Linked DNA regions of Cricetulus griseus. The protein of the gene in region 1 interacts with the protein of each later gene in a pairwise test. Links are inferred from orthologs where the notes say so. Each region holds a gene or a part of one and is shown on either strand. Other genes may lie near its edges.

Region 1 (4,488 bases):
AACTAAAACCATGGTGGAGGCAGGGTGCAACACAAGCACTTAGATTACTGCAGAGGGTGATGAGGCTTTGAATGGGCAATTTGGGAAGAAGTGTGTGTCTCATATCCTAGAAAAGGACTTTAATATTACTGTTGGGCATTAAGAAGCCAGAGCCAGAAATAGGACCATAGGACCACAAAGGAAAAGTACATCCAACCGGGAAGGCCCCAAGGCTAGGCAGCGGTATTTGGTTTCTAATCAACCAATATATACATGTGAAGTTACAGACTCGGAGCAGCAGGCTTTCTTGGGACTGCCAGAGCCCAAATCATGACATAGTCTTACTACTAATTATGAATGTTTGGCCTTAGCTTTAGGCTTGTTTCTGCTTAGCTTTTTAATTGAAATTAACCCATTTCTATTAGTCTATGTGTTGCCCTGAGGCTGTTCTTCTGTCTCTACCTCCCAAGTGTTAGACAGTGTGGTCCATGTTTGTAATTCTAACACTGAACTCTTGGTTTGTTTGTTTTTGTTGTTGTTTTTGAGAGACAAGGGTCTGACCATGTAACCTTGGCTGGTATGGAACTTGCTCAAGCTCACAGAAATCTGTCTGCCTCTGCTTCCTTAGTGCTCAGATTTAAAGTCACGTGCCAATACACCTGGCTGACTTTTGAAACACCACACATAGCTGGCAAAGACCCTGGAAGAGTCTAACAAACCAAAGGAGTTGAAATATTATATAACAACAGGTCATTTGCAACAGAATTGGACTAAGGGTACACATAGCTCAGGAGAGTACGCAGAGCATGTCCAGCGAGACCCATGTTTTGTTGGTTTTTTTTTTTAATTTTGTTTTAGACTTATATACACTATTTTATGTGTATGCCTGTGAGTCATAAATGTCCCTGGTGCCCAAAGAGGTCAGAAGAGGGCATATGAGCCCTTGGAATTGGAGTTATAGATAGCAGTGGTCTGGCATGTGAATACTTGGAACCAAACTCTCGTCTTTCTGAAAAAATAAGTGCCTTTTTTTGGTTTGTTTTTCGAGACAGGGTTTCTCTGTGTAGCTCTGGCTGATTGGAGCTCACTATGTAGACCAGGAAATCTGTCTTCAACCCCCTAGTTCTGGGATTACGAGCTGCTGTGTATTGAGGTCAGGGGCTCTTGCTTCCAAAGCATGTATTTCACCAACTGAATTTTCTCATCACCTCCCTAGCATCTGGTCAGCAGAGGTGGACCCAACAGGTTGTCACTGATCACTAGCTGACGAATGGATTACAGACGTTAGAGAACAGTAAATGATGATGCTCCCACAGTGATTCAAGGGAACTCAAACAGGAGGATGTTCCAAGCTAAGGAAGTGGATATATCCTGAAGACACAAATCATCAGGGTTTACTGACAAACCTGATGTAGAATGAGAAAGAGGAGCCTTGAGCAAGGGGAGGCTAATGTGCTAAGAGACTCCATGGAGCAAGCAGTGAGATGTCAGGTAGACAGGTGGATATAGGGATGTTAGTTTACTGAAAGAACTATGTCTGAGAGAAAAAGCTGGGAGTAGTCATCAAATGCATGGTTTCAAACCGGAATCTGCAGACAGCAACACAGGAAAACCTAAAACTCAGGCCTGCTCTGGTCACAGAGCAAGTTCAAGTCCCGCATGAGTAACTTAAGGAGACACAGTATCGTAATTTAAAAACAAAAATTTAAGGGCAGGTGTGGTGTCAAATATCTATATTGCCATCAGTTGGAAAAACAGAGGCAAAAATCAGTAGTTCAAGGTCATCCTCACCTACATACAGAGTTTGAGGCCATCCTGGGAATGAGACCCTACCTCAAAACAAGGAAGTAAAGCTACTATGGCCCTAAAGCCATATTCAATCATCTCAATACTGCTTTTAGAATAAGAAGGCAAGACTAAGAAACTGGAGGTCAACCTTCCCAATGAGACAAGTATCAGGTACTTTCCCACTCATCTCTGCCGCCCACCCCCACTCGATTCTAAACTGTTTTCCTGCCTCGGTTAATGGAACATTTCCCATGTTTTTTATATCTTAGTCGGCAGGGCACAAAACTGGGGTGCCTGGCCTGTTGAATTAATGGCGGGTTTGTTGTTGTTGTTTTGAATAGGAATATATTCATTTTCTTTTACTGTCTCGATCGATAGAGGTATACCATGTATATCAGGCTGATCTGGACCTTACTATGTAGTCCACGAGGGCCTTCTTCTGCCTCAGCTTCTCACCTGCTGGGATTACAGGCGAGCACCGCTGCTCATTGCTGGAATATGTTACTCTATTTAATATTCTCTGCCTTGGGGTAGACTTCCGGTGCTAAAAGCAAGGACGAGTACATTGTTTATTTCGGTATCAGAACTGCCTAAACTCTTTTTTATTGGGGGGGGGGGTTTCAAGACAGTGTTTCTCTGTGGATCGAACTCACAGAGATCAGCCTGCCTCTGCCTCCCGAGTGCTGGGACTAAATGTGTGTGCCACCACCGCCCGGCTTAGAACTGCCTGAACTCTTAACACAGTTCAAAGCATTGCACAGGAAACACAGTCATACTTCACAAGCCCAGAGAATAAATACTGGAACTTGGTGTGAGTGATTACTTCCTGTTGGAACTCTGAGGTAGGTTCCAGAAGGTACGCGTTGAAGTGAAGGACCACGCGGGAAGGAAAAACTGCCTCCTCTTTGTAATTCCAAACCCGTATCCGGATGGACTGAGCTAGTCCGGCCCATGCCACCACTCCAGCCCGTGTCACTCACCCAGCCGCGTGGCGCGTTCCCGTGGCTTTGCAGGCTGGTCTGCAGTCCCGTGTTCAGTCTCGAGCTCCTCCTGCTGTTGCCTGGCTTGCTGCAAAATGCGTCTGCTCAGCCGGGGTCCAACATACTCTTCCTCCTCTTCAACCCCGCGTCCCCGCCGCTTGTCTCGGGTCCCCGCGCGCACTGCATTCCCAGCCAGAATCTGCTCGGCCAGAGGTGCATGCTTCTCCTGATTCCGGGCCCCGCGGGCCACCTTCAATTTGGGCATTTTTCTCGAAAAACTTGCCGATGCTACTCACACGTGGGAAGCCGGTTTAAAACTAGGACTGTGTCTGCGCCCTGTGTTCCGGTGCTCGGGAGGTCACCGAGAGTTCACAGCGCCCCCCAGCGTTCGGAGGCCGGAAGTGCCTCATATACCGCCATCTCTCCAGGAGCTCCGGGGCGGGAGCTGGACTCCCCAGATTCTCAGGTAATCTCATTGTACGGAAGTGGGTGGATGTCCCAAGTCACCTTTTCCAGACAGAATTCATGAATGTAGCCTGAGAGGTCCTGTCAAAGCAAAGCGCGCCCTGGGGGCGGAGCCGGGCTGATGACGGAATTCGTTCATCGCTGGAGCGCCCGGGCACGCCTCCCTTCTGTGGGTGTACCGCTCTGGCGCTCAGATTTTGCGTATTTCCGGAGCCTGCATCCTGCTTTAGGCGGCTCTACCTCCAGGGGCCTCTGGATCCCTTGACTTCGAGTGTTTGGCAGTGCCACCCCTTTGACCCTGCGCCATGGGAGTGACTTGGTAGGACTGCAGGGGCTCTTGTGGGACGGAGCTTGGGGTCGTGAAGGCCCCAGGAGGGGGATCGGGACGGAAGCTCTCGGTTCCTCGCGGGCTGACAAAGATGTCCTCGGGTCGTGTTGCAGCAAGGGACGCCGTGTGGTGCTTCTTCCTTCCCAGGCGCATCCTTTTGGCAAAGCCAACTCTTCATTCCAGGAACCTGTCAGGAGTCGTACCTTCTTTTTCTTGGTACTTCTTCATGTCCGTCAGGCCATAGTATTGTCGCCAATAGGACCTAAAAGTTGGGAATAGGCTTTCGCACTAAGAATTATTTGCAGGCAGCGATAAAAAAGAGGGGGGCGCTCTAGGAGAAAGTGACTTTTACATTTTGCTTGCAGTAATAATAGCCTGGCTTTAATTTGGTCTAATGTCAGAGGGAGAGGAAAAGGAGCTGTTGGAGGTTTGGAGGTCGGGGTTCCAGGCACATTAACTATCCAAGAATCACTTCCTACATGTTTGAGTCAGGTTTGGGTTTTTTTTTGTTTTTTATCTGAAACGTGTTTTAAATCTCACTTGGAAAAAGAGAGGTGATTGGTAATGTCTGGACACCGTGCTTTTCTTCAGGGCATTAATTCCAAAGTACTAGGCTTCAGCACGTTAAAAAAAATCTTGGTAGTGGTGTGTGTCTTCCCAGCTGTTCTGTATAATGTGTGTGTGGGATGTTCTTCAGGAAACCCAGGCTCTTGCAGGGTTTTTAGTGACTACTATACGTGCAAATTAGTTGACACCAGGAGCCTTATCTCAACCTCATCACACCGTAAAAAGTACCTGTCAGCAGTGAAAATAGAAATCACAGCAGAGTCACTGGGCCCTATAAAACATTTCTGTATATGTTTTTATGGGCTGTCGATCACCTGCCTCTGACTCCTGCATCCTGGGATCACAGGAGTGCTCCACCAATGCCTGCCTGCCTAGGGTTCA
Region 2 (3,881 bases), on another chromosome or scaffold:
CCACACGAGTAACCCGTTGCTCAGGGGTTAATTCTACAATCTAGAACATTAAGAACAATCATTTAATAACAGAGTTGTTATTAAAGTATAAATAAAAAAGTTCAGGTAACACTGATCTTGCTATTAAAAAGGCAACAAAGAAAAGCAATGGTGCTTCTAGTCGAAACTAATTGTGCAATCACTTAGACCCGCAGCTCATAAACTGGACACTCTTATCCCATTTCTAACCTTCTCATGAGAGAAAGTAGTCTCTCTGATACATTACCGATATTGGCTCTCCTCTTGATCTCCTTCCGTCTATTAGCGAACCAATTATAGACTTTCAGAGAGGTAACTCGTTCCAGGTCGGACAGCTTTTTGCCTGTGAATACATGCAAAAAAAATTCAGATAATCTGTATCTTAGATCCAAGACTGAACTGTTCTCAAGAAATATATCTCTGCTAAAAGTTGCTTTTTATTCTATTTATTGCCAAAATAACAGATGGGATGGAATCTTTTTTTTTTTTACATTGCTTAGTACTAAGAACCCACTAAAATTATTACTGCATCAACAAACACACAAATGAATATATAGCTAGCCACAACTCAGGGAGACACACTCAATCTTAAAAAATCCCACAAAGTCCGTTTACTAGGGTTCCAGATCAAATCGTAGTTCCCAGATTAGTACCACGGAGGTGTCATTTAATTAGCATCATTGAGAGGGATGTTATCCTTTATGGAAGTGTACAGATAACATAAAATGACTTCTTAGTTTCCTAGTCTCTTAACATACATGTTATACCTTATGTAAGATAAGAGATACATGCTGTGTTGAAGGCGAATGGCCATGTGATTGTTCTGTAATACACAGTACCACTCAGGGTAGAGTTTAGATTTACTGTCTTCTCAGCCATCACAGTTAATTATTATGGAGATACCATACTAACATGTAAGCAGCCATCTGCACTGCCCCCTGCTCTCCTGTCCTCTTGTTTTCAACTTTTAATCTGTATTTGTTTTCCAGAGGGAGCCAATCCCTGCACTGAGACTGTAGGCCTATTCACCCAAGGTACAGACTCCTCTCGCCTGAGGGTAGAGCCGAGCATGTAGGTAGATATCACCGGAGGCTGGCTTTCTAAAGGAGACTAATCCCCCTTCACTGTATGAAACTCTGATATTCACATAGTCTTTAAGCCATCAAAACAAGTGGCCATGCAGAAACTAGCTGCTTGTGTCTAGTCTCTGAAGTACACAGGGGATAAGACACATAGGAAGTACCAGAGTGGCTGCAAACCCCCACGGAGACTTCAAAAGGGAACCACCATGTTCTCTTAGCCAGGCAGAAGTCATCCCAATGTGAAAAGCCCCAACCCCCAAAAGCTGCCCCACAAAGAAATAAAGACCGTGCAGTTTTATAGCAACTGTGAAGAAAATGGTTTTACATTCTTTAACTAACAAAATTCGCTTGAATTTTCACACTTTATCATTATTTCAGAATTGATAAGTTTATGCTAAATTTTGGAAAAACAAATCCATAATTTAAAAAACCTTTCAAGGCCTCAAGTGTCATGGAGAGTCATTGTGTGTGAGCACTTCAGTCACGCCACATTAACATCAGGAGTACTATCTGGAGAACACTGGCTGGGACCTGCATTAGGAGGGCGAGTGTCCAGACCACTGAGTGTAAGTGAACATTGCCCTCTGAGCTCACCTCCTTACCTGGCTTCTGTATGACTGCATTGCAAGCGTTGGCAATCTCTTCTCTCTTTGCTTCATCTGGGTATTGATTCTCATTGAAGTAACTGCAGGGGCAACCAACAAAGACACATTTTACTTTAAAATGTACCCATTAAAAGGTCTTCTTTAAGATGTGACTTGGTATAGTTCAGGATGGCCACAAAAACTTCCTGGAGAAAGCCAATGTAAGACCTATTTACCTTTTACTTAACTGAACTTACTGTATGTGACTGGTGGCTACGTGCTATTGTGCCTCTAAGATAAGTTATTTTTTTAATGAATCCACCTGGTGATAACCATCTTAACTCAATTAAGCTAGTCTTAGAAACATATTATGCTTATTCTCATGAGTGGTTCCTAGATTTTATATCGACATAAAATTGTGGATGTGTGTAAGACATGATTTCAGAAGTAAAACTAATCAGGAAGCAAGAGGAATAATGGGAGGGGAGAGCTAAGAGGAGGGAGGGAGTGAGGGGGAGAGGTAAGGGGTATGGACAATGGTGTACATGACTGACCAAAGTCACAGAGCAACAAGAGCCATGCCACTAAAGCACTGGTATCAACACGGCTTTTTCTCTTTTGGTCATTTTTTTTTTTTTTTTAATAGTAGCAAAAACTGGAAATTACCCAATTATCCACAAACAAGGGATGACAGAACAAATTATGTGGTATCTATATTTATACACAGCTTTTTTAAAACAACTAGGAAGGAAATAAGTTAGCACTCTGTCTACTGACCTGAATGGATGTTTATAGCATATTCCTAAGTGAGAAAAACAATCTGCAAAATAATGTACAAGCAAAAAAAACGCCAAGAATTAGAAGATCCCTGTCTGCATGTGTGTTGTTTCACATGGGTAAAAGTGAAGAATACACATCAGGCTGAGAACACCCACCGCTCACTGTTGAAGAAGGGGCGTAGTGGGATACTGACACATTTTGTTTTTGTATGTTACGAAGTAGATTATTACTTTGGTTCAACGGTATTTAATACATGAGGCTTATAAAATCTGTTGTTAGATCAAGCAGACTCATAAAAGGTAGATGGGAACAGAATGCTATTATTAGTGCTACTTTTTCTGACACCTATGAACTTAAAGAAAAAGAGAACTTTCACACCTTGAGCCTGGAAAGTGACAATGAGGCAATGACCGTTGGATTTTAGTACCTACCATTTCTTCAGGACCACCCCTTTCCTGAAAATCCGCCACTCTGCGATGGCAGAAAGACCACTCATTGCACAAATGCCTCAGAGGCTCCTTTCCTCCTAAGAGCTCCAACCTGACCCCTGCTGCCTTCTCCTCCCTTGAGGTCTCTATATGGAAGGCACACCTTCACTTCAGTCTGGGTAGAGCTGCTGCCTCGCTTCTCGATCTTCTATAAGCCTCCCAACCATACGCTCCCACTCTTGTCTTTGACCATGTTCTACGTGGTTCCTTGCTGTTTCTCTCAGTGTAAGGATCTCCTCCTGCATGGTCCGAGGAGTGCCAGTGTTCAGTCTAAGTCACCATGCTCACAGGGGCTCCAGGTCCATTTGGTCTTGGCTTCTGTGTTTACTTGAACTAACTTCTGGTTAGGTCATGGCAGCAGCATACAGCTTCACCTGGAGCAAACTCAGTAACCAGAATGCACACTAACATCTGAAATCTCACCCAACTTACTCATTTACCCCCCAATTCACCAAGTAGATATGAATTACCTAATATGTGCTTGGCAATGTGGGTAAAGAATTGGTTTCTGGTATCAAGGAGCTCACAATCTACTTGAGAGAGATATTCATAAATGTACTTATAGTGAAAGGCCATAGGATTTGTGGACAGTTTGGTATGCCCAGTTGTGGGAGGAGTCTGCAAAGATGTCATAGGCAAGTCTGAGCTAGGTCTTGAGGACTGGTACTGTCAGGCAGGGATGGCAGATGAGGCCATGAGAACCCTGGGCACTGAGAGGAGTACAGTGTGTTAAGAGCATGGGCTTCGTAGGATGATGCGATGAGATCAGTGCTAGTGCCTATCACTTCTTCAGAGGGGGAGGGAGCAAGCTTGCAATGTACTTGTCTGTCCTCTAAGGATGAAGGACCAGCCATTGAAATCATTGGAGAGCCTGAGAGGTTTCCATACAACAGAAATATAATTCTACATGTGCTTTACAGGAAGATAAC
Region 3 (3,881 bases), on another chromosome or scaffold:
TGATGGGGTGCGGCCCAGCTGCACCATGTTTAATCAGCTCCGGAATGGTGTCTGCACCCAGGAGACTGTGGCTGCCTTTCTTCATTATGAGTGTTCCATCCAGGCTGGAGGCTCTTGCAATCCTTTGTTCTTCCTCCATTTCATTCTTTCTTCATCTCTTTTACACTCTTCCTTTTGATGCTCTGCTCTGCTTCATTGACTATGACTCAGAAGATAAAAATCTTCATTTTCATCTTATTAGTGGCTTCTGAAGCCGGGCATGGTGGCGAAGTAATTTAATCCCAGTACTCAGGAGGCAGGTGGATCTCTGTGAGTTCAAGGCCAGCCTGGTCTACAGCGCTAGTTCCAGGACAGTCAGGACTACACAGTGAGACCCTGACTCAACACACACACACACACACACACACACACACAGAGAGAGAGAGAGAGAGAGAGAGAGAGAGAGAGAGAAAGAAAAATCTCTGTAAACATCCTTAATCCTATTTTTTATTCTTAAATCATTAAAAACATTTCCTGTTCACTTTGAAGATGAGGGGATACTGAGATGGGGGATGAAGTGTCAGTAGTTTGACTTAATCTAATCATTGAGACGGCACAGCTTGTCAAGGAGCTTACTACCAAACCTAATGACCTGAGTCCAATCCCAAGGACTCACATGGTGGAGGGTGAGAACAGACTTCCACAGGTTGTCCTCTGACCTCTATGCATGCATCATGGCACAAGCACACACATGCATACATAAAAATACACACACAAATAAATAGTGAACAATTAGTGGCTAACGTATTTTCTTTCTTTACCTCGGAAGCCACTGCTCACACAGCATCTGTCTTAGGGGATCTTTCTCTGTGGCTCGAGCCTGGATGTTAGAGGAGATTCTCCACTGATCACTCTCTACACAGTCACCTGGCAAATCAAATGCTCTTCAGGGTTCTGGGTGGCTCTCAATGACTACAAATGGCTTGTCACAGGGTGCACCCACAATAGCCCCCCGGCCCTCCACTGCAGAGCTGCTCTCGGCTCTTGGCAGAGGAAAAAAGGGTAGTGTCTCCATCGCTGCTCTACCCCGCAGAAGGTGACCTGTCTTTGGAATTCACATTTTCTGCATTTACTGACTGCCTTGTCAGGCCCTGGTCTGATTGATGTGAACCCACGTCCCACTCCTGTCCGGTAGCCTTTTCGGGGGGAGGGGTGCTTATTTACGTATTTGTTTGTTTTGATCATATTATGTCATCTTGGTCATTTGGAGGCATTCCGTAGTCGGAGTCCATGGGTGGCATCAGGTTGTTAGAAAGACAGCCAGGGGCTGCCTGCACCTCAGACTAGGGTGTCTTCTCCACCAGCGTCTGCCGGCAATGGCTCCAAGCCAGGCCTTGGGACAGAATGTCCACTTTCATGTACCCTCCCCCTGTGCCACCCCCACGCCTTCTTCCTCAGGCTCTCTGTCTTCCAGCCATGTTTCCCAATGTGTAATTATTGCTAATTAATTCCCAGTCAGAGTGATGGATAGTTTAATTTGCTTTCCTTGAGAGGCTTGTTTTCCCCTGCTTTGCCAGGGACTGGGCAGAGTTCCAGTGTACAGAGGGAGGGGTCACTCCAGAGGGTGAAGTCTCAGCGCTGGAGGTCCAGCACTCTCCCCACCCACCCTCCCTGGCGGTGGTTACCTCCGCACCCCTGTTGGCTCTAAGAATCCAAACTTCTCCCGTCTCTGCAGCCTTGTGCAGAGGCAGGGATCTCCACGAGGGATATCAGTACTGAAGTCTTACCAGAGGGAGAGGTTCTGCTGCACACCGTACAGCACCCCCCCTCTCTCCAGAGCTTGCTCCCCACCTCTCCACTCCCCCTACTTTTGTGCCCCCACTTCTGAGCACAGGTCTCAGAGGATTTCTTTGGGAGCCATTTAACTTTCTTGCCTGCTCCAATTTTCTTCAGTTAGTTGTCTGAATAGTGACATGAAGACTTAGGGCCACAAAGAATTCTTGTGGAAGCAAGAAGGGAGCGGAGTCCATGAGGCCATATTCCCTGTTGCTTTCTCTCTACTACAGAAACAAAAATGCCACTCAGCGATTGCTGGCATTGTTACCAGCATTGCAGCCATTATCATCACCATCACCACCACCACCACCACCATCACCATCACCAGCATCACTGTTATCAACACTGCCACCATCGCCATGGTAATTGTCACTGCCAACATCTCCATTGCTGTCTTGACCATCAACATTGCCATTGCCATCATTCACCAACACCATTGCCAACATTATTATCACTGCCACTTTTATCACAGCAGCTACAGTTTACTATCTGTCATGTGATGGACACTGTGCCAAGCATCTTATACTCATCTGGTCCCTGATAGGTAAGATGGCAGAATGTACTACCACTGGCTGGGTTTGGAGAAGTGATCCAAATGAAGCCAGAGGTCCTGCTTTGGCCTCTGAATCTGGGGCCCTGCTGTGTATGCTCTGCACCTCTAAGATGCAGGAGGCAGTGCAAGGCCCCACAAAGCAGAGACATGAGCCCAAGGTGTCCCCAGCCACTGTGCCAGCCCACATCCAGGTTCTCCCCACTGATCCCAGGTGTATGAAGGTGGGAGCAATGTGGACCAGTTTGTGACCCGATTCCTTCTGAAGGAGACAGCCAATCAGATCCAGTCGCTGCTCAGCTCCGTGGAAAGTGCTGTGGAAGCCATTGAGGAACAGACCAGCCAGATCCGGTAGGTCAGTGGGACATATAGGGGGTACTTACAGCAGCCTGACCCTTTGTGTACCTCAAATCTTGGTGACCTTGGCCAAATTGCTGCACCTCTCTTTCACTCCCCAACTGCAATATGAAGATACACTTAGGACCTACTACCTGAGTTGTGAGACTTACATGGGACAGAACGTACTTAGGAGAATGGTTGATATGGGACATGCAACCATAGATCTTGTCACAGTTCTCCTTGTTCTTAGCTGGAAAGACTGAAGTCCCAGTCCAGGCCTGCTGCCTGGCTCACTTCTGAACACCAGAAACCAGCTTGGGAAGTGGTATCTGGCTACAGGATGGGGGATGTCACATGGTAGAAGTGAAATATCCAGAGGGAAATGTGTTCCTGCCGGGAGCCCTCCAGATCCCCAAGGGCGGCTTCTTTTTGACCTGGAGAGCTGCAGAGATGGAAGGAGCTACTGAAGGCAGCATAGGACCAAACTAATGCTGAAGGAGATGCTGGCGAGGGATGGAGTTCAAAGGGCTGCTCCTTTGTCTCTGGGTACATGGGCAAGCATGGGGGTTTCTCATGGGCACTGAGGATGCTGTGTGCTTGGTGCCTGGACTGGGACTTCAGTCTTTCCAGCTAAGAAGGGCCTGCTCAAAAGGATATGTGATAGGTAGAGTTTTAGTTGGGTGCGGTGGTAGGGGTGGGAGAGAGAAGTGGGATTGTCATGTAAAACAATCTTGTATCCAATTCAAATAAAAATATGCAAAAAGAAGAAGAAAAGAAGAAGAAGAGAAGAAAAGAAGAAGGAAAAGAAGGAGAAGGAGAAGGAGAAGGAGAAGGAGAAGGAGAAGAAGAAGAAGAAGAAGAAGAAGAAAAAGAAGGGCCTGCTCAGCTTAGAGCACAGCCACATGCTGCCTACAGCTGACTCAGGAAACTCCTATCTGTTCAGATCAGAAAAGGGGAAATGGGACCCACACACAGGCGGGCAGCTGCCAGGGAGCCCATATCCCTGGGCTATCCAGCCTTGGCTTTATCAGTGTACAACTTCAGGGTGCCTGGCAGAGGGGCATAGTGGGAGCAGGATGTTCTTTTGCTGTGGGGTGGGGTTTGAGTGGGAGTCACTTGGTCAGTGAGGACCTCAGATAGGGTTGTGAGGGGTTCTTAATGACATTGTTGCAAAAAT

Evidence for each region. The genes of interacting proteins can lie anywhere in the genome.
Region 2: the proteins of bystin (region 1) and Hmbox1 interact in binary tests that used the Homo sapiens proteins (3 or more experiments, as listed by UniProt). The two-hybrid records come from large-scale screens. The link is inferred for Cricetulus griseus from reciprocal best matches to the Homo sapiens genes BYSL and HMBOX1.
Region 3: the proteins of bystin (region 1) and Necab2 interact in binary tests that used the Homo sapiens proteins (3 or more experiments, as listed by UniProt). The two-hybrid records come from large-scale screens. The link is inferred for Cricetulus griseus from reciprocal best matches to the Homo sapiens genes BYSL and NECAB2.

What each region holds. Positions count from the first base shown.
Region 1 is NW_023276806.1:255,579,785-255,584,272, reverse strand, and holds the start of bystin, read right to left. Parts: upstream 3,109-4,488; 5' UTR 3,013-3,108; coding exon 2,748-3,012; intron 1-2,747. Other genes in the region: mediator of RNA polymerase II transcription subunit 20, read left to right, coding at 3,518-3,531. UniProt on the Homo sapiens protein: Required for processing of 20S pre-rRNA precursor and biogenesis of 40S ribosomal subunits. May be required for trophinin-dependent regulation of cell adhesion during implantation of human embryos.
Region 2 is NW_023276807.1:219,856,077-219,859,957, forward strand, and holds part of Hmbox1 (homeobox-containing protein 1), read right to left. Parts: intron 1,786-3,881; coding exon 1,703-1,785; intron 362-1,702; coding exon 266-361; intron 1-265. UniProt on the Homo sapiens protein: Binds directly to 5'-TTAGGG-3' repeats in telomeric DNA. Associates with the telomerase complex at sites of active telomere processing and positively regulates telomere elongation.
Region 3 is NC_048596.1:196,094,895-196,098,775, forward strand, and holds part of Necab2 (N-terminal EF-hand calcium-binding protein 2), read left to right. Parts: intron 1-2,579; coding exon 2,580-2,716; intron 2,717-3,881. UniProt on the Homo sapiens protein: May act as a signaling scaffold protein that senses intracellular calcium.